Arabidopsis thaliana: one gene and its partners. The main gene of each other region encodes a partner of the protein of the gene in region 3 in a complex. Each region holds a gene or a part of one and is shown on either strand. Other genes may lie near its edges.

Evidence for each region.
Region 1: AT5G46520 (region 3) and TBP1 share a complex: the UniProt entries of both Arabidopsis thaliana proteins name them as parts of the nuclear protein complex.
Region 2: AT5G46520 (region 3) and PAD4 share a complex: the UniProt entries of both Arabidopsis thaliana proteins name them as parts of the nuclear protein complex.

Annotation. Positions count from the first base shown.
Region 1 is NC_003074.8:4,375,316-4,384,301, forward strand, and holds TBP1 (TATA binding protein 1), read left to right. Parts: upstream 1-4,477; 5' UTR 4,478-4,738; intron 4,739-4,997; 5' UTR 4,998-5,001; coding exon 5,002-5,078; intron 5,079-5,170; coding exon 5,171-5,258; intron 5,259-5,486; coding exon 5,487-5,558; intron 5,559-5,656; coding exon 5,657-5,707; intron 5,708-5,840; coding exon 5,841-5,885; intron 5,886-5,973; coding exon 5,974-6,066; intron 6,067-6,171; coding exon 6,172-6,273; coding exon of another isoform or gene 6,274-6,336; exon of another isoform or gene 6,337-6,379; coding exon 6,380-6,453; intron 6,454-6,553; coding exon 6,554-6,554; 3' UTR 6,555-6,909; downstream 6,910-8,986. Other genes in the region: AT3G13435 (uncharacterized protein), read left to right, coding at 126-225, 515-630; AT3G13437 (uncharacterized protein), read left to right, coding at 1,033-1,174, 1,262-1,377; AT3G13440 (S-adenosyl-L-methionine-dependent methyltransferases superfamily protein), read left to right, coding at 3,023-3,099, 3,273-4,032; DIN4 (Transketolase family protein), read right to left, coding at 7,025-7,060, 7,144-7,230, 7,323-7,400, 7,478-7,573, 7,643-7,729, 7,806-7,874, 7,949-8,038, 8,121-8,218 and 4 more. UniProt on the Arabidopsis thaliana protein: General transcription factor that functions at the core of the DNA-binding multiprotein factor TFIID.
Region 2 is NC_003074.8:19,427,242-19,437,158, forward strand, and holds PAD4 (alpha/beta-Hydrolases superfamily protein), read left to right. Parts: upstream 1-3,853; 5' UTR 3,854-4,324; coding exon 4,325-4,615; intron 4,616-5,716; coding exon 5,717-7,051; 3' UTR 7,052-7,209; downstream 7,210-9,917. Other genes in the region: OEP7 (outer envelope membrane protein 7), read left to right, coding at 2,534-2,728; AT3G52440 (Dof-type zinc finger DNA-binding family protein), read left to right, coding at 8,149-8,949.
Region 3 is NC_003076.8:18,862,699-18,874,274, forward strand, and holds AT5G46520 (Disease resistance protein (TIR-NBS-LRR class) family), read left to right. Parts: upstream 1-4,917; 5' UTR 4,918-5,027; coding exon 5,028-5,599; intron 5,600-5,688; coding exon 5,689-6,811; intron 6,812-6,925; coding exon 6,926-7,225; intron 7,226-7,324; coding exon 7,325-7,735; intron 7,736-7,981; coding exon 7,982-9,178; intron 9,179-9,260; coding exon 9,261-9,278; 3' UTR 9,279-9,770; downstream 9,771-11,576. Other genes in the region: AT5G46510 (Disease resistance protein (TIR-NBS-LRR class) family), read left to right, coding at 1-349, 596-2,219, 2,364-2,512. UniProt on the Arabidopsis thaliana protein: Disease resistance protein of the TIR-NB-LRR-type. Part of the RPS6 locus that contains a cluster of several paralogous disease resistance (R) genes.

The DNA of each region.
Region 1 (8,986 bases), on a different chromosome or scaffold from region 3:
TAATTAATGTTATTTCTTAGAAGCATCATTTGTTGTAAATATGTAATAAACAACTCCACCGCATCAAGTTTTTCTCTTTATATGACCACCCATTAAGTCTTTGCATAGTCCTAAAGCTTAAAAAGATGAATTGGAAGTTGGTTTTGCTAATTGGTTGGATTCTCCTCTCGTCTATTGCATCAAACCCAGCTTTGGCTAAAGTTACTTATCCAACTCGCACAACAAGTAAGTATCCATTACCTATCTCTTTTATTTTATAGTTGTTATTTGATAGATATTCAGATCAAATTCGTGGATCTATTATCTATACATATGCCACGTAAAACTCTTTGATGTATGGAAAAAGTTGATCTTGTAGAATTAATAATTGCTTTCGATCAATAAATGATAACTACAAACTAGCAACACTTTTGTTGTTTAATTTGTATAGAAATATACAATTGTTAATTTACATATACATAAATTCTTGAAAAAAATAGGAAATTTATTTTATGGTTAATCGAATTTTAAATAGGAAAATGGCTTGGAAATATACACATCAGCAAAGGAATGAAGATTGGCTTTACAGGCAGTTTTTCTAGACCTGCTCCTCACGGAGGCGGTCCACCGAAGATCATTTCTAAGTTATGACATGTAACGATCTTAATTAGCGATCCAATCTATATATAATCTATTAACTTGTGATTTCTGATTATTTGTAAAGTTGTTTCATTGTGTGTGATACTCTTCGAATAAATTAAATGAAACTTCGATATGTAAATTATTATTTAGTTCACTATACGATTTAAAATCGAGTATTGAGTGACAACAAGGTCTTTTTCATTTTCTCACCAAAATGATGATATGATTAACATTGGACTTTTCAACAAATGCAAAAATAAGGAAAAAAAGACAAGACTTAGAAAGTCAATATGTTTTCATTGCATGCATTGACGTATACATATCAGTATCACACCAACTGTAATGAGAACGACCCTGATATATATAATCTCTGCCTAACAGTCTAACACTAGCTAATTTATAGTTTATAAGATGTTATATACATATATACCCGGGAAGAAAGAGGAAGAAAGAAAAATGAGTCTCAAGTTCATTCTTATAGCTTTGCTTCTACTTTTATGCATCACATTTTCCAATTCGACCGTCGTTCCTTTTTCCAAAAACCGGAAAATTAGTAAGTCTTCATAACTGCATAAGTGCAAATATTGTTATTATATGGTGTTAAAATGAGGTTTGTAATATAGTTTTAACGTGTAACAAGCCAATGAAGAAGAAGAAGAAGAAGGTAGAGAGATTGACATTCACAAAGGAAAGAAGATCACCGTAAAAGTCAGCCGTTCGCCTCCTGCAAAAGGCTGGATTTGTTGCAATGATTAACTAAAAGGAGCTATGTGAACATTTTCATAAGATCCCATCCTTCAATTTCTATGAAGATAATATCGACCAAGATCAAACTTCAAAGCTTGAAATTAGAAACGTGTATTTGCTATATCTCAACCACTAATTTAAGGGGCTTTCGGCCCATTACACGCATGGGAAGATTCAATTATGTTGATTTTGTAAGTTTTGGGGCTAAAGTGTAAATTATTGAAACTTGTAGGCTTGATTTCATTATTCCAAGTTTCCACTTTTTCTCCTCCGCCGTAGCCGGTGCTTCTTCTTCGTGAAAATCTTTCGTCTGAGATTTTTTCTTTACTAGTTGAATAAAATTGAAGATTTCGAAGACTACCCAAAACCGCGTTTTACAAAAAGCCAGATTCTTTTTTTTTTTTTTTTTTTTTATAATTTCATTAAAACTACCCAATGGGCTTGGGCCGAAACTTACAAACAATTCGGTCCAGTTACAAAATTAGGGTTTTCTGACACATCGCCAGGAAAAAGAAAAAAGCTCGCCGCCTGTTGACCGTCGCTAGCAGAGCGACCAAAACCTAGATCCGGCGGACTCAAGTCCCACAGCTTTGTGGCCGCCTCCGAGAATCGTCCACCACCGACGAAAGATTCCGGTTTTCGTCTGTAGAGACTCAACTCCAACGCACCAACCCACCACAAGACTCCCGGAAAGCTAGCCGCTCCGACGTAGCGGTTCCACGGAACCGGATCCCGACCTAGCAACCCGAAACACTCAGCGATAACACTTCTCTCCCATCACCGGAAAATAGCAAAGACCCAGAGCCAAACACACGTCGATCCGGACCGGTGGAGACCAAAAACGGCAGACCTAAAGACTGGTGGCTCAGTCAGACTCTCTAGATCCAAAACCCGCTGCAGCCATCTAAGATCCAAACAGATCTACTGTTAACCACCGCATCAGACAACGAACCCCCCCTTACCCCTCTCCAACTTCCGCCGTGGACGCAGCGACTAGAATCACGGGTGAGCCTGAGAACCTCGCAGCAACCCTCAGCGTCCATAACCAAGAGACCCCCGCCGCAACCTTCTCGACCGACAAAACCAGAGCCAAATCCACATCAGAGAGAGAGCTCCACACCACACGTTGACGGAGACAAGCATCGGCTCACTCCTGGACTTCCTTGAAGAGGCTTCAAACCGACGATGAAGAGCAGATCGGAACAAAAAGAAAAAGGAAACTAAATCTACTTACCGGAAATTGTCTTCAAGAGAGAGAGAAGGGCACGACTTTCAAGGCTACGATTGAGCCTCCATCTCATAAAGCCAGATTCTTTATCTTCCATAATCGTATTAAAGCTACGAAAACCTCGATTTCGTGTTCAAAACTTGGATTTGCTCGCTATCGAAAGGTCTGACCTTTAATCCTTTTCATGGGTTTAATCGTTCAGATATGATTTCTCGTATCGGTATTATAGCTTAGAGGAAAAGTGTCGTAGTTTTGGCAGATGAAATTAAAATTGGCTCTGTATTCCCAAATAGTTGAAACCCATTTGATGAAGCTATCTTATCAGACTTTTACGCATAAGTTTTCTTGTGGTCTTGGATCGTGTCTAGTGGCAATTATCTTCTCTGAGTTCTTTTGCTTAGTTTGATTGTCTGTTGTTTTAGACGAATGGCTGACCAAGGATTAGAAGAGAGTAATCCAATGGACCTTAGCAAACATCCTTCAGGGATTGTTCCTACTCCTCAGTGAGTTCTTTTGTGCCTTTGTCTTTATTTTAGTCTCTTAAGAGTTAGTGTTTGTTTGATGTCTATGGTGAACTTTAGACTGCAAGCTTGTTTATATTTGAAATATGGAATACACCTTCTCAAAGTTAAAACCTTCTAACTTGTAATGGTGTGGTTTTTGTTTGTTTGTTTAGTAGTCAAGTCATTTACAAGATGCCACCAAGAATTGCTGCTATCCGTCTTGTAAGCTCGCATCGTGAGGTCTATGAACCATGTGATGATTCATTTGCGCTAGTTGATGCATTACTCGCTGATCGCACCAACCTTATAGAGCACAACCCTAAGATTTGTATGGAGATTGGATGCGGAAGCGGATATGTCATAACTTCACTTATACTTCTTCTTCAAAACGAAGTTCCTGGTGTTCATTATCTCGCCATTGACACTAACCCGATAGCTACAAGAGTGACAAAAGAAACTCTAGAAGCACATGGAGTTAATGCTGATGTTATCTGCGCAGATTTAGCTACTGGTCTAGAGAAGAGACTTGCTGGCTCAGTCGACGTGATTGTGGTGAATCCGCCTTATGTGCCAACACCTGAATATGAAGTTGGAATGGAAGGTATTGCCTCTGCTTGGGCAGGAGGGGAAAATGGCCGGACAGTCATCGATAAAATCTTGCCTGTGGTTGATCTTTTGCTATCAGAGAAAGGATGGTTCTACTTAGTGACATTAACTTCAAATTTCCCAGCAGAGATTTGTCTGATGATGAGAAAGAAAGGTTATGCTTCGAGAATCGTAGTTCAGAGATCAACAGAAGAGGAGAATCTCGTTATCCTAAAGTTCTGGAGAGACAAGGATGAGGAGAGCCAGGACAAAGAGACATCATCATCATCGTTTGTTTCGCAGTTTTCGAAATCCTTATCTTCGCTTATGGAGAAACAATGGCGCTGATACTACAAAGATGGCTAGAGATCTCATAAGCATGCTTTGTTTAACCAAGAATTCTCTAGTGTTTTAATTTTTATGAAAATCATGTTTTGTGTTGGTGGTGTAGTCGTAACAGTGATTTGATTTAGTGGGGTTATTGGTTAGTGGATTTTAACTGATGTGAAATTTTGATTTTCAATTCCACATTATGTGATTTGAAAAAATCAATGAAAAATTATAAATTTCTACTTGAAAAAAAATGTTCACTAAATCGCTAAATATGCAAAAATATAATAGCGTTATAACACTAAAGCTGACGTGGCCGAAAAGGAGTGGACTTTCACATAAAACCGAAAGACAGCCGTCATCGTAGCATTACCGCATAAATTTCCAAAATTACCCTCGATGTAACAAGGACGGTCAAGGGTAGCATGGGTATGTATATATAGGTATAAAGGGGCTTAAGGATCCCAAATCCGAAACGCAAGTCGATGACCTCCTCTCTCTCACAGATCTAAAAACCAGAAGCGAGAGAAACAAATTCACTCTCCCCTTATATAAGCACCGATTTATAAATCTTTTTCCCTCTTCGATTCTCAATTCTTTGTATAAAAGGCTTCTCCTTTTCTCAATTCTTCGGCTTCCTTTCGCCCAAACTCTTCCCTCGAATCTTTCCTTCTCGTCTTAAAGCTACGAAACCCTAGATTTCGGATTTCTTCGCTATCCAAAGGTCTGACCTTTAATCCTTTTCCTGAGTTTTTTCGATTAGATCTTATGAGTTTCATCACCTTAAGAGGATAAGTCTCGTTGTTTTGGAAGATGAAATCTAAAATTGGCTCTGTATTCTCAAATAATTGAAACCCTTTTGAATGATAAGTCTATCTGATAAGACTTTTAAGCATATTGTCTTGGATCGTGTCTAGTGTCTATTATATTTTCTGGCTATTGCTTATTTTGATTGTGTTGATTTTGGTTTTGTGTAACTATAGAAGAATGACTGATCAAGGATTGGAAGGGAGTAATCCAGTTGATCTTAGCAAGCATCCTTCAGGGATTGTTCCTACTCTTCAGTGAGTTCTTTTGTGCCTTCGTATTTGTTTTTTGTCTCTTGGGATTAAGTGTTTGTTTGACCCCTGTTGACATCTTTGATGTTTTGTTTCAGAAACATTGTCTCCACGGTGAACTTAGACTGCAAGCTAGATCTTAAAGCCATAGCTTTGCAGGCTCGGAATGCTGAATATAATCCCAAGGTATTTGCATTATATTGTGACTTTTTGTTTTAATAAACGGTAGAAAAGTTGTTTGGAAGAGTACTCTCTCCTTGAGTTGACCTTATTGTTACCTGAGATCTGATTGGTCTATATACTGTGTACTGATTAATTAGAATCTAAGATATTATCTGTTTTTGGCTTTTGCTAAACTAATTTGCCTTAGCTAAGCTCGTCTTATGTAATACCTCTTGTGTTTTATGTTTCCAGCGTTTTGCTGCGGTGATAATGAGGATCAGAGAACCGAAGACTACAGCATTAATATTCGCCTCAGGGAAAATGGTATAGTTATTTTGGTTGGCAATACTTTTTCATAATTCTGAAATTTAATTACATTGGTTTGAATTCTCTTCTGAATTTGGCGACTAATCTCCAATTAGGTCTGTACTGGAGCTAAGAGCGAGGACTTTTCGAAGATGGCTGCTAGAAAGGTAGATTTTTTTTATCTTTAACCTCTTTAATTTAACTTTCTTATAGATCTGTTCTTCTTTACTTTAGCAATAATTGCAGTATGCTATTTGCTCCTCATTTGTTTATGCTAATAGGAGATGTTTTATTGTTTAGTATGCTAGGATTGTGCAGAAATTGGGATTCCCTGCAAAATTCAAGGTACAATTTCTTTAAACCTTTTCCCTATCCAACATTTTTTTTCTTACTTTTGCTTATACTAAATATATTCAATTGTTACATCCTGCAGGATTTCAAGATTCAGAATATTGTAGGTTCTTGTGATGTCAAATTCCCTATAAGACTTGAAGGTCTTGCTTACTCTCACGCTGCTTTCTCAAGTGTGAGTGATCTTAACTTATACATTTAGTAGTCAAGGACCGACTTTTAGAGATAAAAACGTTGTGCTGATGGCCATTACCTCTCTCTCATATTGGCGTGTGGTTAGTATGAGCCCGAGCTCTTCCCAGGGCTGATTTATAGGATGAAAGTCCCAAAAATCGTCCTTCTAATCTTTGTCTCTGGGAAGATCGTAATAACAGGAGCCAAGGTAATATCTCACTTCTCTTTAGGTTTTGTGATAATACTTGTTATGTCTCTCTCTAGTCTCTAGCTCTTCTGTCACCTGAAAAAATCCTGAGATCACTCATTATCAGATGAGAGATGAGACCTACAAAGCCTTTGAGAATATATACCCCGTGCTCTCGGAATTCAGAAAGATACAGCAATAGTATGTAACACACCCGTCAACTTTCCTCATCTTTCTTAGTAATGTTTGATTTCTCGATTTATTCGTGCATGAACCTAATTGTTGTGTTTATCTTTTATAGGGTCACGGATTTGTTCCCTGCAAAACTAGTTGTGCGGTCTTAGCCCCTTGGAGTTGCTAAAGCTTGCTGAGAATTTTGCCCTTGAACAAAGGCTTTCACAGTAGCTAGACTCTCACCTTGTGTTTTGGTTCATAATATAACATTGTATATACACAATGGAGATTCTAAAGACAATTCTTCGGTTCTATTTTTTTTCTTTTTCTTTCCAAGATATGTCTTACATGTATGTTGCTGTAGTGTCCTCACATTTCCACTTATGTTACAAGTAGAACCTTAACTCAGTGTGTAGCCCTAAAGTCTTGTTTATCATAGAGATTGGCCAAGATTGTGAACAAAGATGGAGAGTTTCAAGATCATAGATTAAATAACAAAAGTGGTGATTACAGTATCCATTACATGTCTGAACCACCAGCATCAATAATTATTTCGAAGATAGGAGACAGAGAATCATGTGTACAATGCTAAGATGGGCTAGTAATTCACAGTGGATCTGATTGCATCCAATATCTGCATCAAATTGTGAGCCAGGGAAGAATTAGCAACAAAAACGAAAATATATGTATAAGATACAGACCAGAAACAAAACTTGCCTTGTTCTTGGTTGGCATGTAGAAAGGTTCGAACACTAGAGGGAAAGGAGTGTCCAGGCCACAAACTCTGCTTACAGGTGCTTCTAACTGCAAAAGTAACCAGACATGTAAGCAAATATGAAAACCAGACATTGTTACCAAAAATTATAATGCTGTAGACAAATATGACTTGTTTTTACCCTCAAGAAGCAACGCTCAACTATAGTTGCAGCGATCTCGGCCCCAAAGCCTCCTGTAACAGGAGCTTCATGGCTAATCTGCAACCGAAGTAAGCAAACACATTTATTCTCTGAGACTTAGGACAATGATACTCACTCAGAGAAGCTTAACTTACAAGAAGTCTGCCAGTCTTTCTCACTGAGGTCTCAACGATTTCCTTATCCCAAGGGATCAGAGTCTTGAGATCTATCAATTCACACGATATTCCTTCCTGCAAAAACATTTTGTTTCATCATCTGTATCGCCAAAGACTAATTAAGTGCAAAACATAAAAACTAACGTTTTCTGCGTCAAGACATGCTTGTTCCATGATAGTGAGCTGTGCTCCCCATCCAACAAGAGTTATGTCGGAACCTTCTCGCATAACCTGTGACAAAAAGTTTTCATTTATTAGTCTTAGAAGTGTACTAAAAGAAGAGACACTAGAAATGGAACCTATATACCTCTGCCTCAGATAAAGGTATCATATAGTCATCTTCAGGGACATCCTCTACCGCTTGACGATATAGCCACTGAAGAAGAAGAACAAAGGATCAAAGACTCTTTTACAGGTTCTTGAAGTTGAAAATAACTCAAGAAGTAGTACCTTTGGTTCGAAAAAGACAACGGGATTCGGATCACGGATGGATGACAATAATAATCCCTTAGCTTCCCGTGGACTTCGAGGAATAACAACCTACCCAAAACATGCAATTTTCATATACACCTAAGAATATGAAGCAAATAGAGAAAGAAGAAGCTTTAGTAAGAAGATGTACTTTGATACCAGGGACATGACAAAAGAAAGCTTCAGGGGACTGCGAGTGGTAATGTCCACCGTGACCAACTGCTCCGTACGGTGCCCTAATAGTGAGTCCTACAATTGTCACATAAACCCCAATGAGTAAAAACTTGGTGTCTCATAACCAAGAAGGCACAAGAAGATATGAGTTTACCTCCACAGTTAAACTGGTTTCCACTTCGGTATCTGAACTTTGCAGCCTCATTAACAATCTACGAAATCACAAAACTCCATAAAGAGAACTCATGCGTCATCATAACTTGGTTTAAAGGTAAAGGTAGCATTTTTACCTGATCAAAAGCCGGGAAAATATAATCCGCAAACTGAATTTCCGCAATAACTCGATTTCCCTGCAAGCGAATAAGTAACCAGTAAGATGATGTGATAGCAATGAGAGGTAAACAGAAGAAACAAAAGAAGAGAAGAAGTGACCATTGCAGCTAAACCAATGCCAAAGCCAACAATGCCTTGCTCGCAGAGAGGAGTGTTGAAAACTCGAGATTTCCCAAAACGTTCAGCTAATCCTGTTGTACATCGGAAGACACCACCAAATCCAACATCTTCCCCAAAAACATAAGACCTTCACTCAAGTGACTCCAAATACATTATAAAAACCAATTCAAATGTACCTTAGACTTTAGGATTGAAAAATGCGAGAAAAGCTCACCGAGGATCGGTCTCTAAAGCGATGTGAAGAGCTTGATTAATAGCAGAGTATAGATTCATCGATTTACCACTTTCAGATACATTTTCAACCGTCGATAGCATCCTATATCCATGACCAGAGACCGGAAAAGATGATCCCCGGCAGAATCTGCGTACAAGAGCTGCCGCCATTTACGC
Region 2 (9,917 bases), on a different chromosome or scaffold from region 3:
TCAATGAAGTAGTATCTACCTAACCGGGTTTTTTAGTGAGTGAACCGAAACACGTTTGTCAATAAATCCGTTTAACCAAAACAACTTTGTTGGGTTAACTAAACCACGTCAAGTACCAGATTTTATGTGTGCTGACTCGGTCAAAATTTCATGATCTAGTCTAACAATAAAATAGAATTTCTAGATGATTGTTTGAACCGGTCGGTTTGATGAAGTTAATTGAATTGCTGAAGGGAAACCAGACCAGAATTTCCAAGAAAGAGTGGATAAGGCTAGGATGAATGTGATGTATTGATATTTTAGGCAAAGTGGAAGATTTTAGAATTCATAGTCGCCGGAGACAATTAACACGAAGGTTTGAATTCGTCGCTGTCCATTTCGAATATTTTAATGCTAAGTTTTTTGTGGTGAAATTGATATATAATAATCTTTTGTCCAACCATTAGTTTTTTTTTGTTTCTTCTCCAATTTGTCTTTGAAATAATAGTTTTGGGATTGGACAAAATAAAAAGTAATAGGTAAAACTGAACCAAAACAAACCTGTTTATATCGAAATTGAATCAAATTTCTTTTATTGGGTCAACCACCTTGTATTATGCAAATTGAAACTCTAATGGTGACGTACGACAACACTAAGACCATGTTATCCGGCATGTCCTGGTCTAAAGTTTAATATTAAACCGAGTAGTTAATTTTAGAACTAAAATATGTTCAACTTGGTTATTATTAAGATAAAAAAATTTATTATATAAAATTTAGTTTTTAAAAATAGTAGAGGCTAGAGACACATATTTAGAGGTGTCAAAATGGGTAACCCAACTCAACCCAACTCATAATCAAATGAGTTTAGAGTTAAATGAGTTATGTGTTAACTCAACTCATTTTGTTAAATGGGTTGGGTCAACTCATAACTCATTTAATTTGATGGGTTGAGTTGTTAAATGGGTTAACCCATTTAATTAATAATTTACTTAATTACTATTATAAAATAATAATAAATAATTATCATTATTAATTCATTATCATCAAACTTAGGATATTTACGGATTCTACTTTTTATGGGTTTACGTTTTTTATGGGAAAATCTTGGGTTTACGTTTTTGGTGGGAAAATCACGGGTTTACGTTTTTGGTGGGAAAATCACGGGTTTACGTTTTTGGTGGGAAAATCACGGGTTTACGTTTTTGGTGGAAAAATTACGAGTTTACGTTTTTTGGCGAGAAAATTACGAGTTTACGTTTTTAGCGTCAAAATTACGAGTTTACGTTTTTGGCGGGAAAACCACGGGTTTATGTTTTTGGCGGAAAAATCTCGGGTTTACGTTTTTGGCGGGAAAATCACGGGTTTACGTTTTTGGTGGGAAAATCACGGGTTTACGTTTTTGGAAAAAAATTATGGGTTTACGTTTTTGGCGGAAAAATTACGGGTTTCCGTTTTTGGCGGGAAATTATGGATTTACGTTTTTGGCGGGAAAATCTCTGGTTTACGTTTTTGGCGGAAAAATCAGGGGTTTACGTTTTTGGCGGAAAAATCACGGGTTTACGTTTTTGGCGAGAAAATCACGGATTTACGTTTTTGGCGGGAAAATCACGGGTTTATGTTTTTTGGTGGAAAATTTACGAGTTTACTTTTTCTCAATTTCATCGCATGTATATTTAAGAAATTTGGAAAAATATTAATTTTATTAAATTGGTTTAGATGTGTTGGTTAGACTTAAATTGACATTGATTTAGAAATTTTAGTTGGTTTAATTCAATTTTACAAAACTTGATGGGTTAATTGGGTAAACCATTGAAACCATTAATCATTACAACCCAACTCATTTTACTCATCAAACCAATTGACTCATCAACTCATTTGACCCATCAACTCATTTGAGTCAAAATTTTCAACTCATTAGGGTTTATGGGTTGAGTTGAGTTGACCAATAAATTTTGACCCATTGACACCCCTACACATATCAAATAATTTTAACCTATCTAAATTTTTTTTATAAAAATTACTAACTAACATGTCACGAGTTCACGACACATATCAATAAAAATATTAGATGTCTTCATGTATTAAGTCTAAATTTGTTAATACATTTACTGAGAAAATGAAAAAGTTAATAACTCTATATGAAAAAGGAGGTTATATATAAGTAAAAAAGAAATTTGATAATAAATTAAGAAAAAAAAAAACACAATTTGTAACTATATTAGAAAAAAGGTAAAAGTTCCTTATCCTAACAAAAAAGAAATTGTTGATATATTGAACTATTTATCTAATTCTATTGATTGTTTTTTTCCATATATATATTCCCAAGAAAATAAAATAGGGATCCTTTCAATTATATTTACAATTATATAAAAAGTTTGTATTAATTAACCAATAGACGGATAAAAAGTTGGGCCATAGTTTAACAAACAAACTATCTTTATCCAATGAGAAGCCCAAACCGGCCCATTTTAAACATCCTAGTAAAACCCATCTCCCGATCTTAAACCATCGGTTGATACCACCGACACGCGAACAAGACGACGACGCAGCGATGGGAAAAACTTCGGGAGCGAAACAGGCGACTGTGGTGGTCGCAGCGATGGCGTTAGGATGGTTAGCCATAGAGATCGCTTTCAAGCCTTTCCTCGATAAATTCCGCTCCTCAATCGACAAATCTGACCCAACCAAAGACCCCGATGACTTCGACACCGCCGCTACTGCAACCACATCCAAAGAGGGTTTGTAAAATTAGGGTTTTATCAGATTAAAGAGATTTACTGATTTCAATCCATTTCATGTAACTGATGAATCCATGTGTTCTTAATCATAACAGTTTGAGCAATTTCTTTTGAGTCATGATCGTTTATTTGTCATCAATTTTTGGAAAAGTCTGCTATATTGAATCTGTTATTGTAGTTCAATCGCATAACAGAATCATTAATCTAATCAATATTCATACATGATTTGTTACACCGTTTTTCGTATTTTGTATAAAGTTTCGAGCTGTATTATTAAGGTGGAAGAAGAGATTAGGAATCCGATAAGTACTTAAATTGTTTTAAGTTATGATTCGATTATACGTATCTCTTGAAAAGAAGCATGTTAGAGCAAAATATCAAACTTGACAATTACAAGATTGCTTTATAGATAAAGCAGATTAGCTAAATAAGTATAGGGAGACGATAACATGTGGTGATACAAAGATGTGTCAGATTGATTGTTTAACATCATTTAGTTGAGAAAACTTTGGACGACGACTGACTTCATCATATGAGAAAACACCAAGAAAATGTACTACTAGTCTCTAATGGAGAGACTTGGTTATAGAAGTTCATTGTTTAATTTGAATATTTACTCCAATTCAGGAAAATATCAAAACCAGAAAATTACATGAAAATTACTATAGATGGTAGCTTTGCAATGATTATTGTCCGGTTGGATAGTTTCATTGACATTTAGGATTCAGATTATCTCTTTTATCATTATCAGTTTGTTAAGGCAAGAGTTTTCTAATACATGCTTAAGTCCTAATCATCAGATATTTCTTCTTCAAACCTTTTTTGTTTTGTTTTGATAATTTGCCCCATTTTGTACTCTAGGTTTTTCCACAAAGATCCCAAACAGAGATTAAAAGATGACAATGGCATGGACCTTTCAATGCTTTGTTTTTTTGTTAAATTAGATATAAACCTTTCCAAACAGTAAATTATCAAATTCATTAACAAGTATCTATATCTCTCTAGTAGAGGTAGACCACAACTTAAAAATCTCCTCAAGTCATGGTGGGTCTAACTTGTAGGACTTATATGGGCCAAATTGTATAACTATATCATGTTAAGCTGAAACTGAAAGTAATTGGTTCCTTTTAAAAGCTTAGCCAAAAAAACTTCAAAATGTCTGAGTCAAATGTAGGTTGATTTCTCTGCAATTTCCATGAAAGATAGATAGATAAACTCTTACCAAAGTTTCTGCATATCAAAAGTTGTCAATTTATGCTCAAGTCTAAACCATTCCGATTACATAGGATCACATGCTTTGATTCGCATTTTCTTCTACTATATATTTACATATTTTTTTGTCCTCTACACACAATGATTAAAAAATGAGAATGGACCTACCTTTCACAGCATTTCTTTATTATTATTTTATAAAACCAGTACAATTTTACTAAATTATGATGTTAAAGTAAGAGACTTTGAAGAAGACGACTTAGCAAAGACCAAAACCAAGAAATTACATAGGAACAAGCCAAGAAGATACATAGATAATTTCTTTTTGCTTGTAATATATTTACAACTTCATAAACATCATCGTTCTGCAACTCTCTACTCGATATCCAATCATGGACGATTGTCGATTCGAGACGAGTGAGTTGCAAGCTTCGGTAATGATATCGACTCCTTTATTTACCGATTCTTGGAGTTCATGCAACACCGCAAATTGCAACGGGAGTATAAAGATCCATGACATCGCCGGGATTACATACGTTGCTATACCGGCGGTATCGATGATTCAGTTGGGGAATCTTGTGGGCTTGCCAGTCACCGGAGATGTTCTTTTCCCCGGCTTATCCTCCGATGAACCTCTACCTATGGTCGACGCTGCCATACTCAAACTCTTTCTTCAGTTAAAGGTTTGTTTTCTCTTCCTCTGTTTTTTTTTCTTTCTATTGGATGCAATTTAACCTATTTATTATCTTCAAGGCATGTGGATATTTGAATTTCAATTAATAATACCTCGAGAGAAAAATACAAAAATCATTAAATGCTAATATGGGAAATTATTTCACAAAGGATTTTAAAAAAAAACAAAATTCTATCATAAGTTTTATTCGTTTGGATTTGCGAAAACGAATTTTACCTATTAAAGTTACTATTTTTTTTACGTATTTTAGTACTTTTTAGTAGAACTGATGATCATTACTATTTTTTATTTAAATATCTCTGTCCTCTGAATTTTGATGAATTATAATCCAAATGGAGGTTTTTTTTGTCCTTTTAAAAGATTATTATAAACTATCACCACCACCTACCCCAATAGGCAATAGACAATAGATAATAAATAAAAATTATTTTCTTGTAAGAAATTCTAAAAAGATTCGTGGACACAATTATTCCAAATCCACCATTTGGAATATGTCATTGTCGCGACCTTTGGATATCATAAGCAAGTCAATTGAAAGTTTGGTTTGTATGCCATCACGTCCGTCCGCCCAAGTGATTTAAAAAATTTACTAATTAGTGAGTGAAACGTCATTGGTATTTTTGACACCAAAAAAAACAAAAAATGTTAATGGAATTGGTAGCTTTACGCTTTATGCTTTAACACACCTCGGCGAAGTTTATAAATGTGCGCTCAAAAAGTTTTTAACCCATGATTATTGTGTCACCATCATGTATTTTATTCCCTTTTTCGTCGAATACTTTTAGTTTTTGTTTTGTCTCTAAGGATATGAAAATCTTGAACAAAAACAAGTTCCTATTGGTTTTGATGAGTAGAAAAAACAAGAAGTGACCATTAATGTAGATATAAGTTGTAAAAATGGTAAGTCTAGAGAGGTGTCTTAACTGATTTTTATTCAAATTTGGTTAAACCAAGTAATTGGCAAATTTAGTCTCTAAATCAGTTTACATTATTAGAGGAAATTGTACACTCAGAAGGAAGGTAATCTATAATCAGTTTTGTTCTTGTTAGTCAACCAATTTACAGTAACGTCGACTGCATTAACGTGCAGATCAAGGAAGGATTGGAATTGGAATTGTTAGGTAAAAAGCTGGTGGTGATAACCGGCCATTCAACCGGCGGCGCATTGGCCGCTTTCACCGCACTTTGGCTTCTATCTCAATCTTCTCCGCCGTCATTCCGCGTCTTTTGTATCACCTTTGGCTCTCCTCTGCTCGGAAACCAATCTCTCTCCACCTCAATTTCACGATCACGTTTAGCACACAACTTCTGCCACGTGGTCTCCATCCACGACCTCGTTCCTAGAAGCAGCAATGAACAATTCTGGCCCTTTGGAACTTACTTGTTCTGTTCCGACAAAGGAGGTGTCTGTCTAGACAACGCTGGTTCTGTTCGTCTGATGTTTAATATCCTCAACACCACAGCAACTCAAAACACCGAGGAACATCAGAGGTACGGACACTATGTGTTCACACTTTCACACATGTTTCTTAAATCTAGAAGCTTTCTTGGTGGGAGTATCCCCGACAATAGCTACCAAGCTGGTGTTGCGTTAGCCGTTGAAGCTCTAGGTTTCTCTAACGATGACACAAGTGGCGTTTTAGTCAAAGAATGTATAGAAACAGCTACAAGAATTGTTCGGGCTCCTATTCTGAGGTCAGCTGAGTTAGCCAATGAGCTTGCTAGTGTCTTGCCAGCAAGACTCGAGATTCAATGGTACAAAGATCGTTGCGATGCATCAGAAGAGCAGCTAGGTTACTACGATTTCTTCAAACGATATTCGTTGAAGAGAGACTTTAAAGTGAACATGAGTCGCATAAGACTAGCTAAGTTTTGGGACACAGTGATTAAAATGGTGGAGACGAATGAGTTACCTTTTGATTTTCATTTAGGAAAGAAATGGATTTACGCATCTCAATTTTATCAACTCTTAGCCGAGCCACTCGACATTGCGAATTTCTACAAAAACAGAGATATAAAGACTGGCGGGCATTACTTGGAGGGGAATAGACCTAAAAGGTATGAGGTGATTGATAAATGGCAGAAAGGAGTTAAAGTGCCTGAGGAGTGTGTGAGAAGCAGATACGCGAGCACAACGCAAGATACTTGCTTTTGGGCTAAGCTTGAGCAAGCAAAAGAGTGGTTGGATGAGGCGAGAAAAGAGAGTAGTGATCCCCAGAGGAGATCTTTGTTACGGGAAAAGATTGTTCCATTCGAGAGTTATGCGAATACATTGGTGACGAAGAAGGAGGTTTCTTTGGATGTTAAAGCGAAGAACTCGAGTTATAGTGTGTGGGAGGCGAATCTGAAAGAGTTCAAGTGCAAAATGGGTTATGAAAATGAAATTGAGATGGTTGTTGATGAGAGTGACGCAATGGAGACTTAGTAGGACTAATAGCAAATCGAATGTTTGATATGCTATATAACAATCTGTATCATTGTTGTTCATCATGTTTATGCAAGACTTTCTGATGAATGTTACTATATATTCTAAAACAAAATTTATCGTCAATGTTCAACAAGTTTTGCAAGAGTTTCTTTTTTTGTGCAATGTGCAAAGAGTTTCTCATGTAGAGCTATTGCTCTCTTTTTTTTTTTTTTGGTGAGAAGTAAAGCTATTACTCTAAAACCAACATGTAGTGTGATGGTGATCTAATTTCAGGAATTTTAGAATACAAATATATAGAAAAACGTAAGACCTACTACATAGAATTCTTGGAGATTGCCAATATTTACATGATCCAAGAAGCTCTTTATCCCATTCAGATTTTCCTTTCCAATCCCCATTTTTCTGTGGGTTAATAAATCAAATAAATTCAAGTCAAATAAGTAGACAAATAGAGACAGTCCTTGTTCTTCAAAACTTGTGTCTTCTTGTTTCACCTTCTCGTTCTATAGTTTCTATTCACAGATCGTTACGCATACCTTACATACCATTTTCATACTATATACTATTATATAATTATGACTATCTATGATTCGTTATCTACAAGTTCTGATTCTTAACGACTCTGGCCAAATATTCATCGTCCTCTCGCGAATATAATGTGAATAGAAAATGTTGCAATATAGATAACTCATGGTTTAGTACTTATTGATATGAATATTTTACTTAATATGATTGTAAGTACATTCTATTAATTTTAAAAGACATATATTAATCGTGCAGCATCCATAAACTAAGCCGTACAAATAGCTCAATGTACACCCAATAACCCATCTCTCCAAAGAGGCCATAGGCTTCTTAGTTCCCTTCGAAACAATCTCCAAGACGATCTATTTTCTTATTCATATCTTATGATAAAAAAAACAAATACTAGTATTTAAATATCTATCAAAGATTCAAAACCCTTAACCCTGTCTCCCCCAAGAAGCAACAGTGAGTGCACCCTTACGAGGCATTTGCTCCCCCAAACTTCATCCACTCTCTAGCCTCCACGCGTCTCAAACTCTCCACATGCACAAACTCTCACCCACACATTCATGCATGCGTATATAATACATTCGTATTCCGATAGACTAAAGAAGAGCGAGAGAGATATGGAGAGAGCAGAGGCCTTGACATCATCGTTTATATGGCGGCCAAACGCAAACGCAAACGCGGAGATCACGCCGAGTTGTCCAAGATGTGGATCCTCTAACACAAAGTTCTGTTACTACAACAACTATAGCCTCACTCAGCCTCGCTACTTCTGCAAAGGCTGCCGCAGATATTGGACCAAAGGTGGTTCCCTCCGCAATGTTCCTGTAGGCGGTGGCTGTCGAAAATCCCGCCGCCCCAAATCATCTTCTGGTAACAATACTAAAACTAGCCTAACCGCTAATTCTGGCAACCCCGGTGGTGGTTCACCAAGCATCGATCTTGCTCTTGTTTACGCCAATTTCTTGAATCCAAAGCCTGACGAATCTATACTACAAGAAAATTGCGACTTAGCCACTACGGATTTTTTGGTAGATAATCCTACCGGCACTTCCATGGACCCTTCATGGAGTATGGACATCAATGATGGTCATCATGATCATTATATTAATCCGGTGGAACACATTGTGGAGGAATGTGGTTATAATGGCTTGCCTCCATTTCCTGGTGAAGAGCTTCTCTCTTTAGACACTAATGGTGTTTGGTCTGATGCTTTGTTGATTGGTCATAACCATGTAGACGTTGGCGTGACTCCGGTTCAGGCTGTACACGAACCGGTGGTTCATTTCGCTGACGAATCCAATGATTCCACCAATCTCTTGTTTGGAAGTTGGAGCCCTTTTGATTTCACTGCCGATGGATGATCCTTATATTTGCATATAAATTTATGAATTTGTGTTATTGTACCTATTATACAAAGAATGATATACACGATTATATGAAATTCTATAGATCATTTCATGTAATTAAGAAAGTCGATAAATTTTAAGTACAAATTTAAGGGGTAATAATATGTGTACTCTACAGATCATTATTTATTTTGGTTATTCAGTCGTTTTGAAGATTTCCTCAAGAATCCCACGTGGAGGTCCTTGTCTTTGGATTCGATTGAGATTTGCTTCGTTACTTGAACTTGTACAATTCAGAGAAAGTGAGACGCACGTGTATCACGGTTGCACGTGTGAGAGCCTGTTAGTATCTCTGGCCTGTGTAGATCCTTCTCCAAAAAGGGAGTGTCAGAGAAAGAGCATATTTGTTCCTACTTTTCTTTCAACTCCTTTCTACATGAAAAGAAAAAGAAAAATGTGATATATCACAAGAGTTGTTTTTTATTTATTAGAGATTTATAAATACAATTTAGGCCGTTTACATGCGAAATCCAATTCTCTATGAATTGAACACTTTCTTAGCTTAAGCCTCGTATTCCTATTCATATTGCCAACTGTTAGAGGCAAACAAAAAACTCATCTCTCAAGAACGAAGATAGACCCTCGCTACCATAACACCGCCACTTCAACAGCATTTTAATGTTTATACACAACTAATGTACATATACATTTTTACAGCCATTTTGTGAAATAAATCCTGTAATTGAGACTTATTTACAATGGCTGTCACTGGATTTTAATGTTTGATTTTGATAATTAAAAAAAAAATATTCGAATTAAATATTTGGCATTTAACAATGTTCCCTAAATCTCTCCACATTAACTACACGATTAGTTCCTAAAATAAAACTTTCAAAATATTTAATATCATTTAATTACTACAAAATTATCATTTTTGATATTGCTTTTCTCCATGACTATAACAATTCGATTATAATCATCAA
Region 3 (11,576 bases):
TCTTTCAAAGGCCACTAACATTGAGAAACTTGACTTTGGACATTGCTGGAGTTTGGTGGAGCTTCCTTCCTCTATACGAAATCTCAATAAACTGTTGGAATTGAATATGGAATACTGCGGTGAATTGGAGACTCTTCCTACGGGTTTCAACCTCAAATCCCTGGACTACCTCAATTTCAATGAATGCTGGAAGTTGAGGACTTTTCCTGAATTCGCAACCAACATCTCAAATCTCATTCTGGCAGAAACATCTATTGAAGAATACCCTTCCAATTTGTATTTCAAGAATGTCCGTGAGCTAAGCATGGGGAAAGCGGATAGTGATGAGAATAAATGCCAAGGAGTGAAGGTATATGTAGTTCTCTCCAATATCATGAGAATCCATTATATGTTTTTCTTTTCAAAGTGTAAAGGTAAATCTTGCATTGAGTATTACCAAGTCAATCAACAAACAAAGAATGCAAAATGACAAATGCAAATTTGTTTCGTAATGGAATTTGTTTTAGCTTAGATTAATTAATTGAAAAGTCCCAAACTGTAAATTGTATTATTGGTGATTTTTGTTTAACATCTCTAAATTGTTTATTTGGTTCAGCCCTTCATGCCGATGCTGTCTCCCACTTTGACCCTCTTGGAGCTCTGGAATATCCCAAATTTAGTAGAGCTTTCGTCCTCATTTCAGAATCTCAATAACCTTGAGAGGTTGGACATTTGTTACTGCAGAAATCTGGAGTCTCTACCCACCGGAATCAACCTCGAATCTCTCGTTTCCCTTAATCTCTTTGGATGCTCACGGTTGAAGCGCTTTCCTGATATCTCAACCAACATCAAATATCTCGATCTAGACCAAACTGGGATTGAAGAGGTTCCTTGGCAGATCGAGAACTTCTTTAACCTCACTAAGCTAACTATGAAAGGTTGCCGCGAGCTAAAATGTGTATCCCTAAACATTTTTAAACTCAAACATCTTGGGGAAGTTAGCTTTTCCAATTGCGGGGCATTGACCAGAGTTGATTTGAGTTGCTATCCAAGTGGGGTGGAGATGATGAAGGCAGACAATGCTGACATAGTTTCTGAGGAGACCACCTCTTCTCTTCCTGATAGTTGCGTCCTCAATGTCAATTTCATGGATTGCGTCAATCTGGATCGAGAACCTGTCCTTCACCAACAGTCGATTATTTTCAACTCCATGATATTGCCAGGTGAAGAAGTGCCATCATATTTCACTTACCGAACATCTGACTCTCAACCATTTGGAACGTCTTCCTCTCTGCCCATCCCTCTACTTCCCACACAACTCTCTCAACCATTCTTCAGATTTAGGGTTTGTGCAGTGGTAAGTGCTTCCAATGGAGTATATATCGGGGTATATAGTCGGTTCAAAGGCAGAATTGGGAACAAATTTGATTCCTTTGGTGAGCTACATAAATTCATGGAAATTGAGAAGGGTATTCATCTGTGTATATTTGACTGTCGTATCCGTCTATACAAAGATAATGTTCCTCTATCTCAACTGAACTATGATCATGTGGATATAAATATTCATATAACTAGTGGAGATTGGAGATCTACGGTCGTTTTAAAAGAATGGGGTATACGACTCTTAGAGGACTGTTCATCAGCGGAGAACCGACTTGGTAATCCAAACAGTACTCTTCCACATGTTTGTGTAGAGGATGAAGAAAATTTGGTTAATGGGACTGAACAAGGTGATAGAGGTGATGTAGTGACGGAGACAAGCAGTAAACAGAATGAAGACGTTATCCTTCTGCAACGATCAGCTGATTCCATGTTCTCTAGGATGTCAGGAAAAGAAATGATTTCATATTTCACTCATCGCACTACTGGAACCTCTCTAACCAACATACCTCTACCTCACACCTCTCCCTCGCAACCGTTCTTCAGATTTAAAGCTTTCGCAGTGGTTGGTTGCAAATCTTCTGGTCAGTTTTCATATTTTGTCACCCATATTTCTTGTCGATTCAAAGATGGATTTGAGAATCAACCACGTAGGCTTTATAAAGCTGAGAATGGTAACCACCTTGACATATATGAGTGCTCTTTCCCTCTATACCAAGGTAATGCTTCTCCAGCTGAAATGAACTATGATCGCGTGGATATACAGCTTCATTTAAGGTATAGAAGTGACTCTACGGTCAGATTAATAGTATGGGGTATACGCCTCATCGAGGACTGTTCATCATCCGAGAACCAACTTGGTTATCTAAATACTCTGTAGCATGTTCGTGAAGACAGTGAAACGGTGAGAGTGCCAAAAGTTCCAAGAGGCTCAAGACATTGAGATAGGCTATGAGACTGATCAGAGTGAAGAGCGTGGATACAGAGTGATGATATTGGTATAGACAGTGAGACTGATCAGTTTGAAGAGTGTGGAAATAGTGATATAGGCCATGAGATTGATCAGAGTGAAGAATGTGAAGACATGGACGATACTGGTGGTATATGCATTGGGATTGATCAGAGTGAAGAGCGAGGAGACAGTGATGAATAGTGATAGTGGCAGTGAGACTGATCACTTTGAAGAGTGCGAAGATAGTGATATAGGCAATGAGATTGATCAGAGTGACTAATGAGATTGAATACAATGAAGAGAGTAGAGACAGAGAGAACCAGTACACAATGGCAGGTAAGTATTAATCAAGAACTGAACAGAATAACAGATATCTCGCCGTCAGGATCTTTAATATTATAAATCACTGAGTTGTTTTCTTTTGCTTGCAGATTATGTGAAAAAGAAATGAATCTTTGAGATACTTTTGTGGTGATGGAATGAGTAGTTTTGCTGCCGGTTCTATGGAACAACAAGAAGAGCCCAAGATTCCTCATTGTCTCCCTAGCTAGACAGACATTTTCAGGTGACCCAAAAAAACTCATAAACCATTTCATTTTAGTTCCACATCAATTGTAAATACAGAGCATATATATAGTAGCATGCTTTTGAATTTCTGATTGTCTGGTTATAGACTTTTTATTATATAGATATTTGGCTGTATTCAATTGATAAATTTCACAGCCATCAATGTTGTTCACTGCTTGGTTAAAGACTTTGATATTATCTATTATGGGATAATTAGATACATGTGTGCTAGTATTATGAGGCATATATTTCAAAAAAAAGTCGTGATGTAGTTACAAAAATTGATGGAATTCAAGCCACTGGTTTTTAATTAGATTATAAAGCTGAAGGAATGGAATTGTCTCAAATGGCAGATGAAGATGGTACTGTTCATGTCAATGTTTTATAATTTTTTGTTTTTTTTCTTAGGTTGCACGTTTGTGATAAGCTTATTTCATTACTATAACGATTTAATTTCTGAAGAACTATTTGTGTTATTTGTGTTCACAAGAATTTGCTGTCTGGAACAAAGTTTTACAGTGTACCTGAATTGAGTTTTCTTTTATTCGTTTTCGGATTTCACTCTCCACTAGTTGAAAAAGGTCTGAGGCTTTCTAGATTGTTTCAAACTTCGTTAGGAACATGAAAATTTGCATCTAGACAATGCCCTGTGGTATCTGGTAATCAAAATTCTGTTTCTGGTTACTTCGTTTTTACATGGGCAGAAAGTGAATCTCCTACAGGTCTTGCGACACAGTTAGCTTTTGATTTGATAAGCTTACTGTTACTTTAACCCTGTTGACATTTCTCACCTATGTCATTCGTTTGAAAGCTTGTTTTGATTCTCTAATGATATGCTTAACTTTCATTCTCTGATGATTCTTTTGTCTTGCAATTGTTATTGTTCAGGAAAGCTGGAGGAAGTCACTTTGATGACCAATGTTGGTTACGGATCTGACAAGATATTAATGTAAGAATAAGAGGCTATGGACATGGTTTTTACTTGAGTGGTGGCGATTAAGTCCAAATCTAAAAGAGATGATTAAGTCAAGATCCAGCAGAAAAGAGGAAACTTTCGTTAAGGTGTATGACAACAGTGGTGCAATTGCTAATGTTTGTGAATTGGTCTTTTTTCTTATTAGGGATATATAATGAAGCAAGCATGATTGAAGAAATCGCCAAGTCTTAATCGGCTCACGTTAGGTGGTGGAAAGACGACGCATTGCAAAAGTTTTGCAGGCTGACGAAAAAAGAGGAGAATGGAGATCAATTGGAAGAGGTTCTTCTTATTTGATTGGTTAATTTTTCTTTTCTTTCTATATTTAGATATACATGGTGACACCCATTATTGTCCAATTTGTCCCTTTTTTCTGTTTCTTTTGAGACCATGTCTATATATGAGAATTGAGAATCTTACAATTAAATATTTTGAACTAATAAGTCTTTTATTTTGTTTCCAACTCATGTGTTTAACTAAGTCCTAAGCTAACACTAGATTTTTTTTAAAAGAAATTTGGTTTTCCTCCACAGTATTTTTATTGTTTTTTGTGGACTTGACCACAAAACTTCAAAAGACTCGGAAGAAAATTAAACAAATATTATGCACAATTTCGCACCACTCAATGCCTTGCCTCCCCTACCTAAAATGTTGACAATGTCGTCTTATTCTTTATGTCAAGCACGATGATGTGTCTGACTTTAAGTAATTTACATTTTTTAAAAATTCGTGATAGATATTCTCCCAAATTCTTTCAAATATCATAGGCTTTAAGATGTTACCAACTACCAAGTCTCCTAAAAAGACCAAAAAGTCTCCTTAGATATTTATCAAACTCTTTGATGTTTTGTTGCTCGTTCCTTCGTTCACAGTTTCCTGATTTAACAGTGGCCAGTAGGATAATGATTACGTTGCTTCACTTTTCACTGTTACTGTGGAATTGCTTGGTAATTTCGAAAACTTGTATCCTTATTAAGAATTTGTAAAAAGTTTTGCAACTTCGTATTGTACATCTTTATTAAGAATTTGTAAATGAATGATATACAGTAGTAAAGACAAGAGGCTATGAAATATGGTTATGACGATTGAGTCAACAAAGAGGAAACTTCCGCCAAGTAAAAGTCTAAGAAATAATTGTGAAAACTTGTATGGCCAAGTTACCTCTCAGCTGTTATGTTAAATGTTTTATATCCACCAAGACAGACTCACTACTTGTCCTCTATTTCTCTTCTTAAAATCTCAATCTCCAAAGTCTTCGTTTCTAGTTTCCTCCTTCTAACTCTCTCTATGGCTTCTTCATCTTCTTCTCGCAATTGGGTTTATGATGTTTTCTTGAGCTTCAGTGGGAAAGACGTCCGCGTAACATTCCGTAGCCACTTTCTCAAAGAGCTTGATCGGAAACTGATCTCTGCTTTCAGAGACAATGAGATCGAGAGAAGCCACTCTCTTTGGCCCGATCTTGAACAAGCGATCAAGGACTCCAGAATCGCAGTGGTCGTTTTCTCCAAAAACTACGCTTCGTCGAGCTGGTGTCTTAACGAGTTGCTGGAGATTGTGAACTGCAATGATAAAATTATCATACCGGTTTTCTACGGTGTGGATCCTTCCCAAGTGAGGTATCAAATCGGTGAATTTGGAAGTATCTTTGAAAAGACTTGCAAGAGACAAACAGAGGAAGTGAAAAATCAATGGAAGAAAGCGTTGACTGATGTAGCTAATATGCTTGGATTTGATTCTGCCAAATGGTATGATTTTTATACCAAATTCATTATTAGATACATCTTGAAATAAAATTGTTGTTTCATATTTCTTAAATTATCTTTCACCTTATTAGGGATGACGAAGCAAAAATGATTGAAGAAATAGCCAATGATGTTTTGGCTAAACTGCTTTTAACTTCATCCACGGATTCTGCTGAGAACTCTATTGGCATTGAAGATCATATTGCAAATATGAGTGTATTGTTGAAATTGGAAGCTGAGGAAGTGAGAATGGTTGGTATATGGGGTTCCTCGGGGATTGGTAAGACTACCATTGCAAGAGCTCTGTTTAACCAACTTTCTCGGCATTTCCCAGTTAGCAAATTCATAGACAGAGCTTTTGTATATAAGAGTAGAGAAACTTACAAGGGCGCCAATCCGGACGACCCGAACATGAAGTTGCACTTGCAAGGATGTTTCCTATCGGAAATTTTGGGGAAAAAAGACATAAAGATTGATCATTTAGGTGCACTGGGAGAGAGGCTAAAGCACCAGAAAACTCTCATCATCATTGATGATTTGGATGATCTAGTGGTACTAGATTCATTGGTGGGTAAAACTAATTGGTTTGGATGTGGGAGCAGGATCATAGTGATTACCAATAATAAGCAATTCTTAAGGGCCCATGGAATTGATCATATTTACGAAGTTAGTCTCCCTTCTAAAGAGCGCGCTCAAGAGATGTTTTGTCAGTCTGCTTTCGGGGAAAACTCTCCACCTGAAGGTTTTGAGGAGCTCGTAGTTGAAATTGCATGGCTTGCTGGTAGTCTTCCTTTGGGTCTTACTGTTTTTGGTTCAGCTCTACGAGGGAGAAAAAAGGAGTACTGGGTGAAGATGTTGCCAAGGCTTCAAAATGATCTAGATGGCAATATTGAGGAGACATTGAAAGTCAGCTATGATGCGATAGGCAACGTAAAAGATCAAGCGTTATTCCGTCTTATCGCATGTCTTTTCAATCACGTCAAAGTCAGAGACATTGAATTGTTGCTCGCAGATAGTGGCTTAGATGTAAATATTGCACTGGAAAACCTAGTTGATAAGTCCCTTATTCATGTCAGAAATGATCATGTGGAGATGCACCGTTTGCTACAAGAAACGGGTAGAAATATTGTACGCTCACAGTCCACTGACAACCCAGGAGAACGAGAATTTCTGGTGGATTCAAACGATAGTCGTACTGTACTCAGTGAAGGCATTGTAAGTCTTTTTTTTAGTTGTGCTACTTTCAGTATACGAGGTTAAGAAAGTGCCATTTGATGAATCATGAATTGTATGGTTTTGTCTCTATCTCACTAATATCATATTTTTCAGGGTACTCGAAAGGTGCTAGGAATATCATTGGATACAAGTAAGGTTAGTGAGTTTTGTGTACATGAGAATGCCTTCAAAGGGATGGGTAATCTCCTTTTCTTGGATATTTCCTCGAAGACTTTTATAGAAGAAGAAGTCAAAGTGCATTTACCGGAAAAAATAAACTATTATTCCGTTCAACCCAAACAATTGATTTGGGATAGATTTCCACTGAAATGTATGCCTTATACTTTTCTTCGAAACCTCGTCAAGCTCGAAATGCATGACAGCAAGCTAGAGAAGCTGTGGGAAGGAGCTATGGTAAGGTTTAAGAATAAATTGTTAATGCTAATTGTAGTTTTTAAATGACGTGATGTGTAATTTCAACTGAGCTCTGCGTTTATTTTTGTCTGAGTACAGTCATTTACATGTCTAAAGGAATTGGATATGTGGGCATCTAAATACCTGAAAGAAATCCCAGATCTTTCAAAGGCCACTAACATTGAGAAACTTGACTTTGGACATTGCTGGAGTTTGGTGGAGCTTCCTTCCTCTATACGAAATCTCAATAAACTGTTGGAATTGAATATGGAATACTGCGGTGAATTGGAGACTCTTCCTACGGGTTTCAACCTCAAATCCCTGGACTACCTCAATTTCAATGAATGCTGGAAGTTGAGGACTTTTCCTGAATTCGCAACCAACATCTCAAATCTCATTCTGGCAGAAACATCTATTGAAGAATACCCTTCCAATTTGTATTTCAAGAATGTCCGTGAGCTAAGCATGGGGAAAGCGGATAGTGATGAGAATAAATGCCAAGGAGTGAAGGTATATGTAGTTCTCTCCAATATCATGAGAATCCATTATATGTTTTTCTTTTCAAAGTGTAAAGGTAAATCTTGCATTGAGTATTACCAAGTCAATCAACAAACAAAGAATGCAAAATGACAAATGCAAATTTGTTTCGTAATGGAATTTGTTTTAGCTTAGATTAATTAATTGAAAAGTCCCAAACTGTAAATTGTATTATTGGTGATTTTTGTTTAACATCTCTAAATTGTTTATTTGGTTCAGCCCTTCATGCCGATGCTGTCTCCCACTTTGACCCTCTTGGAGCTCTGGAATATCCCAAATTTAGTAGAGCTTTCGTCCTCATTTCAGAATCTCAATAACCTTGAGAGGTTGGACATTTGTTACTGCAGAAATCTGGAGTCTCTACCCACCGGAATCAACCTCGAATCTCTCGTTTCCCTTAATCTCTTTGGATGCTCACGGTTGAAGCGCTTTCCTGATATCTCAACCAACATCAAATATCTCGATCTAGACCAAACTGGGATTGAAGAGGTTCCTTGGCAGATCGAGAACTTCTTTAACCTCACTAAGCTAACTATGAAAGGTTGCCGCGAGCTAAAATGTGTATCCCTAAACATTTTTAAACTCAAACATCTTGGGGAAGTTAGCTTTTCCAATTGCGGGGCATTGACCAGAGTTGATTTGAGTTGCTATCCAAGTGGGGTGGAGATGATGAAGGCAGACAATGCTGACATAGTTTCTGAGGAGACCACCTCTTCTCTTCCTGATAGTTGCGTCCTCAATGTCAATTTCATGGATTGCGTCAATCTGGATCGAGAACCTGTCCTTCACCAACAGTCGATTATTTTCAACTCCATGATATTGCCAGGTGAAGAAGTGCCATCATATTTCACTTACCGAACATCTGACTCTCAACCATTTGGAACGTCTTCCTCTCTGCCCATCCCTCTACTTCCCACACAACTCTCTCAACCATTCTTCAGATTTAGGGTTTGTGCAGTGGTAAGTGCTTCCAATGGAGTATATATCGGGGTATATAGTCGGTTCAAAGGCAGAATTGGGAACAAATTTGATTCCTTTGGTGAGGTACATAATTTCATGGAAATTGAGAAGGGTATTCATCTGTGTATATTTGACTGTCGTATCCGTCTATACAAAGATAATGTTCCTCTATCTCAACTGAACTATGATCATGTGGATATAAATATTCATATAACTAGTGGAGATTGGAGATCTACGGTCGTTTTAAAAGAATGGGGTATACGACTCTTAGAGACCGGTTCATCAGCAGAGAACCGACTTGGTAATCCAAACAGTACTCTTCCACATGTTTCTCAAGCCGAAGAAGGCAATATGGGGTATTATACACATGTTCAAGGACTTGTTAATGAGATTGAAAATAGTGAAGACTCTGGAGATAACAATGTAGAGACTGAGAGAAGCAAGAAGCGCATGCGGGTAAGCATTAAGCATTAATTAAACATAATGACTATTCATCTCTCATTCTTTTTGTATGATTGACGACTGGATTCTTTTGCAGCTACACCACTTCATATGAGTAATATTAAACGGATGGGGTATACGACACTTAGAGGACTGTCATCATCGAAGAACCGACATGGTAATCCAAACACTATGCAGCATGTTTGTGAGGCCGATGAAGACAATGATGGATGCCATTAGACTGATCAGAGCGAAGAGCGAGGATAAGAATAGTGATATAGGCAGGGAGACTGATCATTTTCAAGAGTGCGAAGACAGTAATATAAGCAATGAGAGTAATCAGAGTGAAGAGCGTGGGGATAGTGACGATGATGGTATAGGCAATGTGACTGAACACTTTGAAGAGTGCGAAGTTACTTTTGAATTTCTGATTATCTGGTTATAGACTTTTTATTCAGTTGATCAATTTCACAGCCATCAATGTTGTTCACTGTTTGGTTAAAGACTTTGATATTATATAAATTGTGGGATAATTAGATTGTTAGTATTATTTCAAAAACAAGTCATGATGGAATTCAAGCCATTGGTTTTTAATTACAATAAGCTGAATGAACATAATTTTCTCAAATGGCAGATGAAGATGTTGATGTTCATGTGAATGTTTTAAAATGTTTTGTTTCTTTTCTGTGGTTGCACGTTTGTGATAAGCTTATTTCATTACTATCACGATTCCTTTAATTTCTGTCAGGCACAAAGTTTTAAAGTGGACCTGAATTAAGTTTTTGATGTATAATAGTTCTCTTTTGTTTATGGAGAGACAACGAACGACTGACTTGCTTTGTAGCCACACCTGCAAAGTTTTTAGGCATCTTTCAAAGTCCATAAACCAACTTAGTCTAGTTCCGAATAATCTTTAACACAAAGCGTCACAATTGTTTCAAATGCAAGTCGTGTTGTGGATACAAAAAAACTGATGGAATTCACGCAAATGGTTTTAACAAAATGAAGATTTCTCAAAATTGGCAGATGGAATTCATTTATTTGTTTTCAAGTACTCTGTTTCTTTCTTAGCTTGCACATTTGTTTTGAGCTTATGTCATTACTATTACAATTTAATTTCTGAATCCTCACATTATACTTATTTTCTTGTTTCTTACAGTTTGAGGATTATTTCTCCATAAATCCTTTCCTAACTCGAGCAAGGATCACCTCAACTACGGTGTGGAGAATTATGAGCTCACATCTTCACAAGAATTTTGTAAATAAATTTAAGGGACAAAGTGTCAATAAAATTGTTCTCAAAAATTTGTTGTCTGAGATTGGATGAAATCTGTTGTTTGAAACTCTTTTGGCTCTGGATTCTCCTCTATAGCTGAAGTCAACTACGGTCATGTTGATATACAACTTTCATCTAACAGATACTTCATATTAAAAGGATTTGGTATAAGATTCTCTGAACATGGTAATGTAGAGGGATAATTAGTTGGTCCATAAAATATTTTTGCTTGTGGCAACCAAATCCCTAGGGACGGCTCTGGCTATATGGCTTTGTAGCTATGTAAGAAATGATATCGCATAATTTTCAATTTTGCTTCCAATCTGATTATGCATATAGAGACGAAGCTGCAACTATGTAACATATTAAGGCCAAGACCCAAGAGTGAATAAACCATATTCTGTTGTTACTTTCCTATGTGATATCAAAATGAGTAATGGAGTTTCTATAATTTGATTGTTGAACTTTTAAAATCTGTCTTTTAGAGTCATGTCCAGAATATTTGTATCAGTTCTACTTCTTGTATACTACGCAAAATTGTAGCCTGTAACACAAGAAACAAGAAACAGAGTAAGAAAAAAAGGGGTACCTTCTTCAACACGCTTCCATTGGAACAGTTAACAAGCCTACAGAAGAAGAAGATGAAGACGAAGATGAAGACGAAGATAAAGACGAAGCATAAATGATGGAATAAGTAGCCAAAGTTTTATGTTTTATGTAAACAGTAAGCCTAACACATTCAATAGAACATTTTGACTTTCCCGGAGAAGCATATATCATACTATAGGATTTTAATTATGTTTGTATTTGGAAATTTATCAAAGATGTTTCATCATATGATTAAAGTGTGAGTGGAGGAGAATGGACCACAATCCACGAAGATAATTATATTAACTCCAATCCCTTTTCTTCCAAGCAATTTCTTCTCTCTTTTAGCTACAGCAATCCAAAAACACACGTATGATATTATCAAAACTACGACTACCATCCTGCTCTAGTTAAAAATATTATGCATAAATTCAAAAAGTATTGTTACGGATAATAAATATTAATCCTATGAGAAAGTAATATTCTTTTGCTTTTTCAGAATTTAGATGGTTGCTTTCCAAGAAACATATTTTGTTTTGTCAAACTTTC